Linked DNA regions of Drosophila melanogaster. The protein of the gene in region 3 interacts with the protein of the main gene of each other region in a pairwise test. Each region holds a gene or a part of one and is shown on either strand. Other genes may lie near its edges.

Region 1 (4,792 bases), about 11 Mb from region 3:
CCAGCAGTCATCCTGCGACCAGGACTAACCCATAACCCTCTCCTTCGCTTATTGCCTTGCAGAAATTCTTTGTCATTGCCTTTGCTGTGATCGCAGCTGCCTCGGCGGCCTCCATTGCCACGGATTACCTGCCGCCAGTGGACAACAACCTGGAATCTGCCTCCGAACTCGTGGAGGTGCCCGCCGAGCAGGGAGTTCTCTCCGACGATGGATACCGCTACAAGACCGTGCGCCGCCTGAAGTTGCGCCACCGTCGTGATGTGAACGAGCTCCCCTCCGGTGAATACCTGCCCCCTGTTGAGGAATCCGCCTCCGAAGCCGTTGCCGTCGAGACTCCTCTGGCTGATGATGGCTACCGTTACAAGACCGTCCGCCGTGTGATCCGTCGTCGTCGTGATGTCTCCGAACTCTCCCCTGAGTACCTGCCCCCTGTTGAGGAGTCCGCCTCCGAGGCTGTTGCTGTCGAGACTCCCCTGGCTGATGATGGCTACCGCTACAAGACTGTCCGCCGTGTGATCCGTCGTCGTCGTGATGTCTCCGAACTCTCCCCTGAGTACCTGCCCCCTGTTGAGGAGTCCGCCTCCGAGGCTGTTGCCGTCGAGACTCCCCTGGCTGATGATGGCTACCGCTACAAGACTGTCCGCCGTGTGATCCGTCGTCGTCGTGATGTTTCCGAGCTGTCCCCTGAATACCTGCCCCCTGTTGAGGAGTCCGCCTCTGAGGCTGTTGCTGTGGACACCCCTCTTGCTGATGATGGTTACCGTTACAAGACCGTCCGCCGTGTGATCCGTCGTCGTCGTGATGTCAATGAGCTTCCTTCCGGCGAGTACCTGCCCCCCGTTGAGGAGTCTGCCTCCGAGGCTGTTGCTGTTGAGACCCCTCTGGCTGCTGATGGATACCGCTACAAGACTGTCCGTCGTGTGATCCGTCGCCGTCGTGATGTAAACGAGCTGTCCGCCGAATACCTGCCCCCTGTTGAGGAATCCGCCTCCGAAGCCGTTGCCGTCGAGACTCCTCTGGCTGATGATGGATACCGCTACAAGACCGTGCGTCGTGTGATCCGTCGTCGTCGTGATGTCTCCGAGCTGTCCCCTGAATACCTGCCCCCTGTTGAGGAGTCCGCCTCCGAGGCTGTTGCTGTGGAGACTCCCCTGGCTGATGATGGATACCGCTACAAGACCGTGCGTCGTGTGATCCGTCGCCGCCGTGATGTCTCTGAGCTGCCTTCCGGCGAGTACCTGCCCCCCGTGGAGGAGACCGCCTCTGCCATCATTGATGTGCCCGCCGAGCAGACCGTCCTGGCCAGCGATGGCTACCGCTACAAGACCGTCCGTCGTCTGAAGCTCCGTCGCCACTAAGCCGCCGATTGCGCCAACTCCCACCGCAGCATTTGAGATTTTCGAGGATGTTTTTCCAGAAGAAGTCCTGACTTTGACAGTCTCAGATTGAAACTAACAATAAGTCGAGCGTATTAGTCAATTTGAATCCACTATGAACAACCCGAGTACAAACCCGAACTTACAATAATAAACATTTTTAAAACAAATATCCTACAACTACTATATCTTTTTGCAGAATATTTTTAAATATTCGAACTATCTTTTAAACAATATGCCTAGGATTGGGATAAAGCTTATAAAGTCGAAGGAGTTGGTGAAAAGATTTTATAAAAATATTTTTTAAAATGGGCAATAAATAAAGAAGACTCTTATTGTCCTTCGATAGTACAGATATAAAATATTGTGTAAGGACTTGAACTCAACGAATTTTGCATATTGAACATGTTAGGCTTAGAAATATAGGAGACATTTTAGATTGAACATAAATGAAACTATTTTTTTCAGTGCTGATGACCTCAGAAGTAATATATAGCGGGAGAAAAGAGAGCCTTCTAATCTTATCAATGAAAGATAAGGTGCTTTGAGATAAGATACTAGCACCTGCCGACGAATGCAATCACGCACAGGTTTTTAGTTCCACTTTGGAGTCGACGACGTGCGCGTTACAAACTTGGCTAACAGCTAAAAGCGAACATAAGTTTTTCGAAAGAACCGACGAAAACGACGGAAATGAAGTTGGCTAAGAAGTGCTCCACCTACTTGGTGATATGCCTGGGTAAAGTTCTGCATGCTCGTTCGAATCTGCCGAGTTTTGAGTGCCAACTAGAGATACGCAGCACACCGGCGAGATACTTTTTGGTGCATGTGTGTGGGCGGAGTATTGTGCATGTGTGAGACTTTAACGCATTATGATGCACTGATGCATCCGTATGATTCCATAGGTGTGGGGTTTTAATAACCCAACTTCAGCAATTGGAGACTCTAACGATGAGTAACTGGGCCAAGTGTGCGTCACACAATCAGGCACAAGAAAACTCTACAAAAATGTGTGCTTATCAGTGCGATTCAGATAAGCACTGTGTTTACTCATTGTTGCCCCATCACTTGGTGTGCTTAACTTTAGGGCGTGGTGAATCAGTGAGTTCAGAGGGAAATCTTTTTGGATTGAAAGGTATCCCAAATAAAACATATAATTTAGCTGGCAGTGAGTAAATGCGAAATCATTTCCTTTGATTTCATGCAATTTTTATTAGGCCAAAAGTCCAATGCCCTAAAACCGGAAGTGGCATAATTATTGCGCATATAAATTATGAAATATGTTAGACAAAAAAGTGAATGAAAACAATTAATATTGGTTAGCGGTTGGCCAACGAAAATCGGTCGCACTCTTAGCCACATACATTTGGCGGATGGGTTTTGTCAAATGCCTGTCTCCATGAATCACCGACTAATCGAATCGAGGAAAAATCTATACACTTTCCATATCGACAAACAAATCCATTTAATATTTCATACGCAAAATATGCCGAATGAGCTGAACGAACACACACATAAAATATTATTAATTAAAAATACATTTTGATAATTTTACGTGAAATCGAATCTGACATCCGCAATGGAACAATGGGGAAGGAATATGCCAGCTCACATTTATCATCGAAGAAGTTGGCGCGCGCGCGCTATTTTGGCTCAATCAGAATCAGCGTTTTTTGTTGATTTTGGCCCGGCTCTGTTGTTAAACATTTTCTCAACGATTAATTGTTAATATCTTAACAAGTCTTCGCGCATTTGAAGATCTATATGATGAATGGTCTTGCTGTTATTTCAATGAGTTCCGTTTGGCTTGGGTTTGATGGATGCTTCAAAGCCAATGCCGCAATCTTACCAGGCCACCTTCGACCACACGCCGCGTGATCATTGAAAAAATGTGTATGATGTGTGTTTTGCGCCTCGGACGAATCACTATGTCTAACAAATATTAAATTTGTATATTCTTTTCTATTCTGTAGTACTGTTGGCCTGCTGCCTGCAAGAATCGGAGGCCACGCGACGTGTGAACCGCGGACGACGCACCCTTACCCGCAGATACTTCAGTAAGTGATGCCGTATACGTGATCGATATTGCTCAACATTGTTATTTCTTGCAGCTGGCCTTGCTATTCCCGGATGGGCTCTCATCGTTTGTGTAGCGGTAGGTGAGCTGCTGATTGGTGGAGCCCTCTACTTCATCCTCAAGAAGGTGATCCTGGACAAGGAACCAGATCAGACGGCGGCCTCCTACACGCCCGCCCAGACTCATGCGACGGCCACACCTTATACTCCCGCCCAGACTCACGATCCGGCCACGGCCACAACCTATACTCCTGCCCAGACTCATGAGACGGCCAATGTGACTCCCACTCCAACGCATGCCACCGCTATTGTCTGAGGAGATGTGTACAGATCCAAGTGACCACTTTTGGTTCATAACCCTTTCCAAATCAGTTCAAATTCCACCATTAACTAGCTTTATTGTCATTTAATCGACACACAAATAGAACCTGTGCCCTTTGTCTACCTTCATTTTCGAATAAAATTATTTGCCACTTATCTGGCGCCAAACTAGCTTCACATTTGTACGGTTAAACGGTTTTTAAGACGATACACGCTGGCTTTTAACATTTTATTGCACCGGCTAAGCGGCCCAATATCCGCCCAAGACCGATCCAGTTTGTCTACTCATTGTCTGCACCACACGCAACGCTAATTTATATCTAATTAAATCAAACTGGTTTTGAGTTTTGGATTTTTCATAGCCCATGCTGGGGATGAAGATTAATTAGATGAATAGATTTGTAAGCAAATTAATGCCTACTTTTGGGGCTGCGGAAATACTAGCTATTTTCAAGCTACACCCAATATAAAATATCAAAGGGTGTACGGATTATGAGCGGAGTCACCCGGTGCTTCAGCTGTCTTAACAGCGGATTAACATTTTATATATCGATGCTAATTGAACTGAACTGTATTCTTTCTTTCTCCATTGTAATTTTGCGGTCATAGCGATCAGACGTGATTTTTGTATATGAAGAAATAAATGAAGTTAAATAGTGTATATATGATTCTTATTTGCGAACCCCATTACAATGATGTCAAAGCAGTGAGGCATCACAACTATTCATTGGTGGCCCATGAGGGGAACCTTGCTCATAAGAATCATAATTAATAATTGCTAAAAGCTGTTTGGCAATTTTATCTTCGTGGTCGGCTTCATCCAGATAAATCACCGTGCCTACGTTTTCTATCGCGCTCGCTCTCATCACGACAGAGCAGTATACGCAAACGTTCGCGCTCGCTCTCATCACGACAGAGCTAAGTCCCGTTGCCCTTCGATTCCGTTAGATTTGCCGGAATCTCTGCCAACTCAAAAAACAAGACGTCAAAGAAGAACACCGATAACATACGAGCATTTG
Region 2 (5,371 bases), on a different chromosome or scaffold from region 3:
TACACCGTATACCTTTGAATAAGGATACAAATTAATGGTAGCTCTTTGATTGCTTAGCCAAGAAAAATTACTATTTGTCTTCAGGGTAAGAAACTCGAAGAAGATCTTTAAATAAAATTCATAAATATTGATTATTGTAGGTAAAGTAGAAATATGAAAGCCAGACGAAATCGAAAACATTATGGCAACTAAGAGCAAGTCGGTCAAAACTCCCGAGGCCAACAATGGTATCTCTTTTGGAAATTAGTTATAAACATTTTAATATTGATAACGTAAATAAAAAAAATGATAACGGGTATCTGATAGTCGGGGAACTCGACTATAGCATTCTCTCTTGTTTTCCTTATGTCTAGGGAAATGTGTAACAAGGGCAGCATTTAAAAAATAATTTTCAGGGAGAGGAATTCATGATCACTTCCAGCATCCTATTTATGTAAGCCCCTTTATGTAAACTTCAAGCTAAGCGTGCAAGAAATTACATAGAAGATTATATGGTCCCATATGTTAAACCCTGCTTAAACGTGGATTGCCTAAACGTGGATTTTACAAAAATTTTAAATAATACAGTGGTAGTTTATTGCAGATTAGAAACGTTTTCATTTTAAGTTAACTCTTAAGGAACTCTTATAAGGTAAATTGATTATTCTATACAATGTACGTATAATGATAGCTAAACAAAATGTTGTTTATTATACCCGTTACTAGTAATGTAAAAGGGTATACTAGATACGTGGAAAAATATGGAACAGGCAGAAGGAAGCGTTTCCAACCACATAAAGTATATATATTCTTGAATAGGATCTGGCCATGGCCGTCTATCCGTATGAACGTCATACTATGAACGTCTTGATTTCAGAAACTATAAAAGCTAGACGGCTGAAATCAAGCATACAGACGCAAGTTTGTCGATTTTTCTTCGTTTTATTGTTTATCTTGTCAATTTTTAATTTTTTTCATTTCATTCTCATTTTATTTTATTCATTTATGAATAATTTCGCATTCGCAATCCCACTAGCTGAGTAAAGGGTATCGGATGGTCGGGGAACTCGAATACAGCATTCTCTCTTGTTAGAATTTAAGGACTAACCAATTAAATTTATTACACTCCACAACTTAAGTAATGTAGATATGCATTTATCAACAACGGATCGCACGTTGGTGGAACTCTACTGGCAATTTAAACCTTTTTCATTTGATTCATGTATGCTTATCAGCAAAAGTAGTCCTACTAGCTTGTGTGCCGTTGGGTTATCAGCGTTGGGTTTTCTCGGCAGGTTTTGACCGAAAGCATATTGTTGCCAATCAAATCGCCAGAAGAGCTTGTTATTATCTTTGATAGACAATAAGATACCCTTTTCCTGTCTAGTTGGAGGGCAAGAGATGAATATCGAGAGATATCGGGAACTATAAAAGCTACAGGGTAATCAAATCGCTATGTATGTAAGTTTGATTCAAAACCTTACCATTATCGCTTAAGCTGACACGATCACATTTTGTATTTTCATTTTGTATATTCTACCATTTGTCTTCCCAAAAAATGTAAAGCCAACAAACGGCTAAGGCAAAGAATCTAAAATTGTTAACAATCCAAACATTTTGCGACTGTTATTATGGTTTCGAATATCAAATTAAAACAGTGTCGAAATACTGGTATTGTAAAACTAGTACTATAGTAAATAGTAGTAATAATAGTAATAATAGTAATAATAATAATAGTAACTAGTAGATAGTAAAAACTATCTCTCTGAAAACTGTATCCCTAATCTCAACTCTTTAACTTCTATAGTTCCTAAGATCTCGACGTTCATACGGACGGACGGACAGACGGGCAGGGTCAGATCGACTCGGCTATTGATCCATATCAAGAATATATATACTTTTTCAAAGAATCTAGTATACCCTTTTACTCTACTTGTAGGCCACGGAAAAACCCTTGCTTACGCTTCGCAAAAAAAAAAACGAGTTTGCAATGGGCTCGGGAAAGGATTCAGTAGGAAAATTGACTACAATATAAGCAAGTGGAGGTTTTAGATTGGCTAGATAGTCCAGATCTAGGCCCCATAAACAATATTTGGTGGCTAATGAAAAGAAAGCTTCGAATGAACCACAGAGGAACATTTGTGACCTCAAAGAGATGTGGGTATCGATTTCTCGAGAACATGGCCAAAATTTTTTTAAATCAATGCCAAAACGTATTTAATGTGTAATACAGCCCAGGACGCGACGTTACACAATTCTTATGTTAATTAGTCTGTTATACTTTGCAGCGTTCGAATTAATAGTGGCCTTTTTTTCTTATCTCTGTTGTTGTTGTTGAAAATATAACATTTTTTATCAACATGAAGAGAATAAAATTCTCTTTCAGACTAAATACTTTTGCATACGTTATCTGTAGTAGTAATGAGTATACATATCGTGTGTTGAACATTGCACACCGCAAAAAACACATGCTGTTCGAAACACAATACAAAACAATAATAGTAGTTGGGGCTCGTATTTCATTTTCTTGGCTAGGTGTTCTAGAGCACCTTTTTTTTTGGCATATTTAACCCATTATATTATATACATATATACATGTATATATAACATAATATAATTTCTAATAGCATGCATACGTGTATTAAAATTGATGTGGTTTGTAATCTATTTGATTTGTAAATATGTAGCTATGGGACGTAGCGTTTTGCGAGAAAACTACCAATAAGAATTAGATCCTCCACCAACCAGAGAGTTTAACCGCAAGTCAAAGCAAAGTAAAGAAAACAATGCCGGCGCTGAGCGTGCACTGACCTTATCAGCAGGTTTGACTTTGGCAATGAGTAATAATTTCGACCGCGGCTCTCTTTCTCTCATATGTTTCTACTCAGCTGCTGATGCTGCACATAACTATGCACATACATATGAATGTACATATGTACGTTCCGTTGGAAAGAGAGATCACAACGGAGCGCCCATTCGTTGTATTCACTCTCACGTATCACACTGAACCATTGGCGTTAGTCTCATTTAGGCTTAATTGCGTAAAATTCTGATATTAAAAACATATTCATTTTAAACTCTTCAGAACATTAAAATTTAAATCATTATTATGACTTGTTCGTATCCAATCGTATTTTGTAAATCTTCCAGTTCCCAGCCATATGCGCATTGCATGGACTATGTAAACAAAATATGTGAATGTACGAAATACTCAGTTGAGAGACTACAATAATGTTCCGCTGTCGTGCACTATCAGCTGGTGTTCTCTTTTTATCGTACACGGCCCTACTCGCTGTAATTGTTTTAGATTTCCGATCGTCAGCGACTGCTTACTTCCCGGCACACCCGGCGACGCGTGAAGTTCAACTAACAGCGGTGACGGCGTCGCCTTCTCAGTTGGTTTCTGGGTAGAGCGAGACAGTGATAGTGGGGGCATTTTTCTCTTGAGTGGCGACGCTTGAGTGGTTCTCAAAGGACTTGGGAATTGCGTCTGTTGTTCGCTTATCAAAATAAGAGAGAAGAGTCTAGTTCCTCTACAATCAGAAATATCATATACCCATCACTCAGCTAAGTGGAGTCAGAAAAGAATGTGCCATAAGTAGGATCGTCGAGATCTCTGGCACTATAAATGATAGAAGGTTGACCCATGTATCCATTTTCCAAAAAAATTTTTGATACGCCCACTCTAACGTCCTGAAGCTGCCGAACCGGTCAAATTTTAAGTTTTTTCTCATTTTATTCCCCAACATCTATCGATATCCCAATAAAAAAAATAAATCGTGCAATTTCGGGTTCGCATTCACACTAGCTGAGATAGTCGGGGAACTCGACTATAGCATTCTCTTTTCGTTTATATTCTATTTCTTAATTTAAAAAAAAAAATCATTAGGCATCTGAAAGCCAAAAGCAAAAAGGAAGTTCTTAACGTCCTTAACGTCCGATCCGAAGACGCTAGACACTGATTATGTATATGTAAGGTACATATCAGATCATTTCAATTGGTTTCTTTAGTGTAACCGGAAAATTAAGTCGACGTTATCTACACTTTTGTGCTCGCGAACGTGATTATAAACACAACTCGAAGACTAAAAGGTAATCTTTAAAAATAAGGTTCAAGATAACGTTTCTGGCGCTATAAAAAATACATTTACACTTTATGACGAGTTTCGATATCGGGGAACTATAAATCGACACAGTTGAGACTAGACTTATCAGCGGTTCGATCCTTATCAAGTTCATCCACAGTAAAGCAGTATTATCAAATACTGTTAAAATTAAAATATGTACATAGTAATATGAAAGGCGTTTATCCTTAAAAACAAGAAAGTGGAAGTAAGATATAAATTTTTCAAACGGATTTTCTGGATCATATATTCATATTCATATTCGACTCTACAATTTAGTTGATATCAATGGCGCTTAAACACCGCTCAATTCATCACTTTTTCAATGTGTTTTAATCACTATATCCGTACTTATTTTTGAAGAGAGAAATTTCCATCGTCTTGTTGTCAGGTTCTTTTCAGTTTACGATTAAACTTAAAGTAAAATATATTATTATACCTTTAAAGATTTCTTTCTGCTCATGAAATTATTATATTACCTATAATAAAAATCGCAGGAAATCCGATAATCCATTTCGTTTTCTTACTTTCTTTTTTCTCATCCCCGCCCCATCCTTTTTATCAAGATGCAAAAGCACTTAAGCAAAATCTGCTTCCCGGAATGTGGTATTTCTTATTACAACGGGACCAATTAAAGGAGATTGTTATAAAACAGTTGTATGCAGTGGTGCTTGTCATAAAGAACGGATGAATAATCGAATTTTCTTTGGTTGTGTTTTGATTTGACAAAGAATGTATGTGTATGAATGTATGTATATGTATTAAGCAAATGCACTTTCGACGATCATTTAGCTAAGTTATTTCAAACAGAATAGCTATGCTTAGAGAAAACATTGGTGTGCAAATTGGAAGAGGAATTAGAGTTGTTAATTAGGGTTAATTAAAGTTAATAGGTGGAGTTTGTAGCGACCCCTGAAGCTATTATGTTAGAACACCCTGAAAGCTTGAGCCAAGCTTTGGGCGTGTAATCAAGGGTCATATTAAATGCAGTATTAGTCATAGGAAATATACTGGACGAGATGCAAATCTTTATCAGCTGAACTAGGAAAGTTTTGGATAGCTTGGTTATCACAAATGGAGTGATTTCCAGATGATCATGATTTCTTCTGATGGCCTAGACCCAGGCTTGAGTTTCCGTTCTATTTCTTTTCTAATCGAACCGTCGTAAAGTCAATTCGTGAACATTTTTTTCATTCAACTGTTTTTTAGAAAATTATAGCCTGCGCGCGTTAATGATATAATAATCTAGCGAGCTTTCCTCGCCGCAA
Region 3 (4,866 bases):
AGAAAATCTGCTGAATGTTCTTCGATGTGATATATATGATTTCGTTGCCCTCGGCTGTGATGTTGGCTAGTTTGGCACATCGTACGACAGCTCCGAATTTGGGGATAACATAGTACAATGTTCCGAAATTGTCGATGATCATGCTGCGACTGCTGCCCAGAAGACTGCCCAAATGTGTGAGTTTAATGCTATTGTTAATTGGTTTGCTTGCTAATTCGCTTTTGCCTTCAATTTCCAGTCTGTCCACCGTACTGTATAGATCACCATCCTGGTCGGAGAGTATGAGTTCCCCTTGAATTCCGAAGATGAAATCCACTGGCTTGATGGGAAACGATTGATTCATATTCTCGTACTTATTGCTCTCCAAGGATAGGCGGTGCCACGTCTGCTCCAGGATGTCGTAGGCTAGAATTTCTGGTACCTTTCCAAGGATGAAGTAAATATGGCGCTCGTGCTCGCATCCCGGACTCTTGGGTCCCATTTGGACAGTCAGAAAGTGGGTGTCATTAGCACCTATATGGTGTCCACAATCGATTCTCAATAGCTCCGCGTTGTTACGCATCAGATCGAAGACAAACAAACGGGGTGAGCACGTGCTGCCGGGAAATCCGATGTCCATGACCCACAGTCGACTCAGTGCATCCACCTGGGACCAGTGTGCCTGTTGTACCAGAGAGCAATCATCATGATCCCCCATGGAATGAACATCGATGTGGGGAAAGACGACAGTGGGCATGGGAAAATAGGAAACCGGCCATTGCGCCTCGATCAAAGTGGGCGCATCGTTGCTTTCTACATTTACGCTGAGAAACACTCGCGAAAAGTGCATCGATAGATGACGGACTTTGTAGCTGGATTCGTTTAAACCAGATTCGGATAACAGCCAGGCGTCCGTGGCCAGAATTAGACCAACAATGAGAAATCCCAAGCCGAGGACACCATGTGTGACCATCTTTAAACGCGAATTCAGACTGAGCTTAGGGCTAGAGAACTCTGCTTACGTTGTAAGTGCCCGTTCAAGAAGTCCACCAAAGTGTCTACATCAGCAGTTGGGATCGGGTGTCGCCGAATATATCGGCGACCTGCATTAATGGGGACCAGCATTGGAGTGTTTCTCTATTCACTTGTGGTCCCAAAAAAAAAAAGCTTACCAATTTCAATCGGAGAATATCGAAATCATGACACAGTTTCCTCTTAAAATTACCCAAAATTGGATTGTTATATTTTTCAAAATAAATCAAAGTTAAAACCAACAAAATGGTTGTTTTGTACCACCATAATAACCTATAATAAATAAATCATAATAAGGCTATTTTTGTCGAACTTTAGCGATATTGATAAGGTTCCTGTGAACTGAACCTACCTTAAGTGCTTAGTTTTAACATAACCTTAATGTTAACGAGTATTTCTTCGCGTAAAAGTACAAAAAAACCCTATCATATCTTTACAGCCATTATAAAGATTGCTTATAGATGACTGATTTCACTTGGGAATTGCCAAAAAGCTAAAGTGAACCCCCGAGGAATCAATTAATGTTGTTTAGCTTTCAGTTTTTAGTACATTCGTATTTTTTTAAGTATTAAAATTATTTAATCACACGAATAAACATTAAGAAATATTTTATTCTGGAAACTTTCTTCGTTATAGAGCATTTATCGTTGTAAAAAAAATAATTTCATTAGTTTACATTACATTTTCGTTTATATGTTTAGATTTTTTCTAATTAAATGATATTGTATAATTTATTGCAAAAATTATAATACTCACTTCAAATAATCTGAAACAAATCCACCCACTCCGAAAAATGTGGTAAGCTTTATTTTCTAACACCTCTCTTCTGATTTTATTGATTATAACTGGAATCTTTATCGGTTTCTCTCTTTTTCCATCAGTAGGTTGAGAGCTTTTCATACTTTTCACGCCGAAATGGGAAAAATGGCACTGCGCGTAGAGTCAGTTATCCATTTGAGTTGGCCAAGATCAGATCGAAATACGCTAAAATCATTTTCGGGAGCACAATCGAATACTCATACAACACACACTTCAAACGAGGATTATCATCATGTGCAACGCCATTTGTGAATGCCTTAAATGTCCTGGCAAAGTTATTTGCTGGTAAGTTTCCATCAGATTGAATATCCTTTTAAATTAAGTATTAAATAAATAATTACACAAAAATGGATAGTCGACTTTAGGCTTTTTTTAACTATTATGGTTTTACCATAGAGATAAGGTTTGATGAAAAATCCCCCAACAGCGTTATTTTCGTGGTATTTCAAGTACTATTCCTGGTATTGGCAGCTTAATTGACAACTTTCCACTATCAGCTAATAGGTTTTTTTTTTATAGAGATTGCTAAATCCTCGAGGCATTACAATACTCTTCATATTGAGCAGAATTTCTAGAAAGCTCCTACCATAGTTAATGATCAATGATAACAGGTATATTACTTCCTGCTCAGTAATGCCTTAAATATAGAAAGTTTGTTGTTGGTAAAAACCGCTTCTATTGCCACAAAGTTGATTGTTGTCTTTAAACAATCTAGAACGGATGAGACATACATATCTTTAAACGAACAAAACAATTTGTCATTGTCACAAACATTCTGCGCCCTACTCTAGTTAAAAATGATTCATCTACCTTTGCGACCCTAATCAAATTCTTTGGTTATTTTTTTTTTGTTTTGATTTGGAACAAAATAGTCAATAAAATCAAATGTAGGGAATTATGTGCTGGAATCGACGCTTAATCGTTGTCATTGTGTTTATCGTCGTGCTAACAGTAGTTTTCTTTATAATATTTCATATATATGATAAGTATTACGATCAATCCCTCTTCACTCGAGATGTTTAAGTGGCAAATAGCTTTATTCTGTATTTTTATTCTGCTGGATGCACCAGTACGAAAATGATGGATAATACGATACAGATACCTCGGTCGAATGGAAACATTGTAAGCTCCGTTTTCCAATAACTCTCACCCATTTTTCTCACTGGCGTAGTGATAATTATAGTCGACTTGTTATCAGTCTATTTGTTATTTTTTCGGCCGATATGATTAAAGCTTTCAATACCTGTAGACCCCAAAATGCGGTCGATGACAGTTACCCGCTTCAGTTAATATTTTGTGTTGGTCAACCACGCATCGGGAATCGGAAATATACTGTACAGTATATCTATCTATAATAGAATAACCCAAAAAAGTCATCACCATGTGCAACGCTCTCTGTGAATGCCTCAAATGTCCCGGCAAAGTGGTTTGCTGGTAAGTTTCCATCGGTTTCTGGCTCACTAATCATCATATACAAATATATACTATATATATATAAATTATATGTGAGAGCTCTTGACCAGCTCTGGATGAAGCCAATTTGGGAAATTTAGAAATGGGTATCTTCAGTTACAAGCATCCTAAGTATTCGGGATTCAACCTGATTGAAATGAACTAATTGAACTGATCTGACAACAAGATCTGACATCCAGGATATCTCCATCTTGATCATGTGTAAAACTTTTCTAATCAGATCTTTCCATATCCTTGCAGCTGCTGTTCCTGCGCCTGCAAGATGCTCCTGAGCATCGTGTTTTCTGCGCTCCTGATGGTCGTGGTGATCGGCTTGATTGTCTACTTCACGGTCTTCTATCACAAGGATAAGAACACGGATGAGGTGCAGAAGCAGGTCGCCCAACTGACGCCCATTGTGAAGCGCAGCATACGCGACTACTTCAACAAGGAGTACTGATCTGAGGACATGAATTTATACTATAGGCCATATTAATAATAACTCCGTCGAAATCGAAATTGAAACGAACTAAGAACCAAAGCCGTTCAGTGCATGACTTAATCTAATCGCGTCGGATGCTCGTTATGGGATTTTTTCTTATCTATAGATAGTTTGGGACTCAATTGAATGGGCAATTTGTGCGTTCTTTAGAAAGGTAGATAATGTTGGAGCGGCAAAAAATGTGACTCACTGTATACCTTACAATACATTTTGAACTCGAAACCCAGTAAAGCATTCACAATATATATTTAATGTATAATATGTATGAATGTAAGGCAGATTAAAAAAGTTATATTGTACTGGATGACACACTATAAACAAGACAATAAAACTAAAATATCTATAGAAAATTGAAAGTGGAAATAAAAGTAAGTGTATCATTAATTAATAGCATCTCTACATACTGGCTTTTAAAATTTGTAAATCTAAAATAAGCTAATATTTTAAGCTTGGGGGAAAGAAATTAGAAAACTTCGTTATTGAAGTGTGAGATATTCACTAATAAATATTTGAGCTAGGGAAGTTCAAATATTTTTTTAAGATGAGGGTTTACCAGCAGGGAAACCCCTCATTACCACAGTCCTTCCAGCTGTTTTCCTAGTTTTATGTACACCATTGTTTGGGATCAGGTAGCCTAGAACACCGTCGAGGGTTGAAAAGTGTCCAAGATCTGGTGGTCCGTTCAAATGCATTTCAAACTCGTCCCCTTGACTTGCTTCAATCAACTTTGGGCTCAGTTGTTCGCCAGCATCAGGTTCACAATGTCCTCCGATTCCACGCTGTACTTCAGTGCCGTCGAGGATATGTTCAAGGAAGTGTTAACAATAGGGGACGAGAAGAGGGATCCTGGAAACGAGGATTTCTCCGAAACACCTAAACGTTGCGTACGATTGCGCCAGCAAAAGTTGTTCGCGAACGATACCGCGAGTTTTGTGATAGGTCGCCGTTCGCCGAGGATTGAATCCAAAATCGATCTCAACAGAGATGTATCTCCTGGAAGGCGAAAGGAGCTGCGCGGCGAGGAAATCCTTCGGATGCGCAAGGATCGGGCGGAAAAGGAGCGTCTGAGGCCCCAAAGGCGT

What was found. Proteins that work in one complex are often made in the same cells at the same time.
Region 1: the proteins of mex1 (region 3) and hoka interact in a two-hybrid assay, tested with the Drosophila melanogaster proteins (one large-scale study listed by BioGRID).
Region 2: the proteins of mex1 (region 3) and ZnT41F interact in a two-hybrid assay, tested with the Drosophila melanogaster proteins (one large-scale study listed by BioGRID).

The regions. Positions count from the first base shown.
Region 1 is NT_037436.4:4,896,928-4,901,719, forward strand, and holds hoka (hoka), read left to right. Parts: upstream 1-1,972; 5' UTR 1,973-2,069; coding exon 2,070-2,115; intron 2,116-3,349; coding exon 3,350-3,433; intron 3,434-3,487; coding exon 3,488-3,768; 3' UTR 3,769-3,942; downstream 3,943-4,792. Other genes in the region: CG13705 (uncharacterized protein), read left to right, coding at 63-1,358.
Region 2 is NT_033778.4:5,779,509-5,784,879, forward strand, and holds the start of ZnT41F (zinc transporter 41F), read right to left. Parts: upstream 3,351-5,371; 5' UTR 3,269-3,350; exon of another isoform or gene 2,791-3,268; intron 1-2,790.
Region 3 is NT_037436.4:15,516,706-15,521,571, reverse strand, and holds mex1 (midgut expression 1), read left to right. Parts: upstream 1-1,979; 5' UTR 1,980-2,062; coding exon 2,063-2,115; intron 2,116-2,786; exon of another isoform or gene 2,787-3,211; coding exon of another isoform or gene 3,212-3,264; intron 3,265-3,543; coding exon 3,544-3,742; 3' UTR 3,743-4,148; downstream 4,149-4,866. Other genes in the region: yellow-k, read right to left, coding at 1-952; CG13454 (uncharacterized protein), read left to right, coding at 4,546-4,866. UniProt on the Drosophila melanogaster protein: Involved in morphogenesis and development.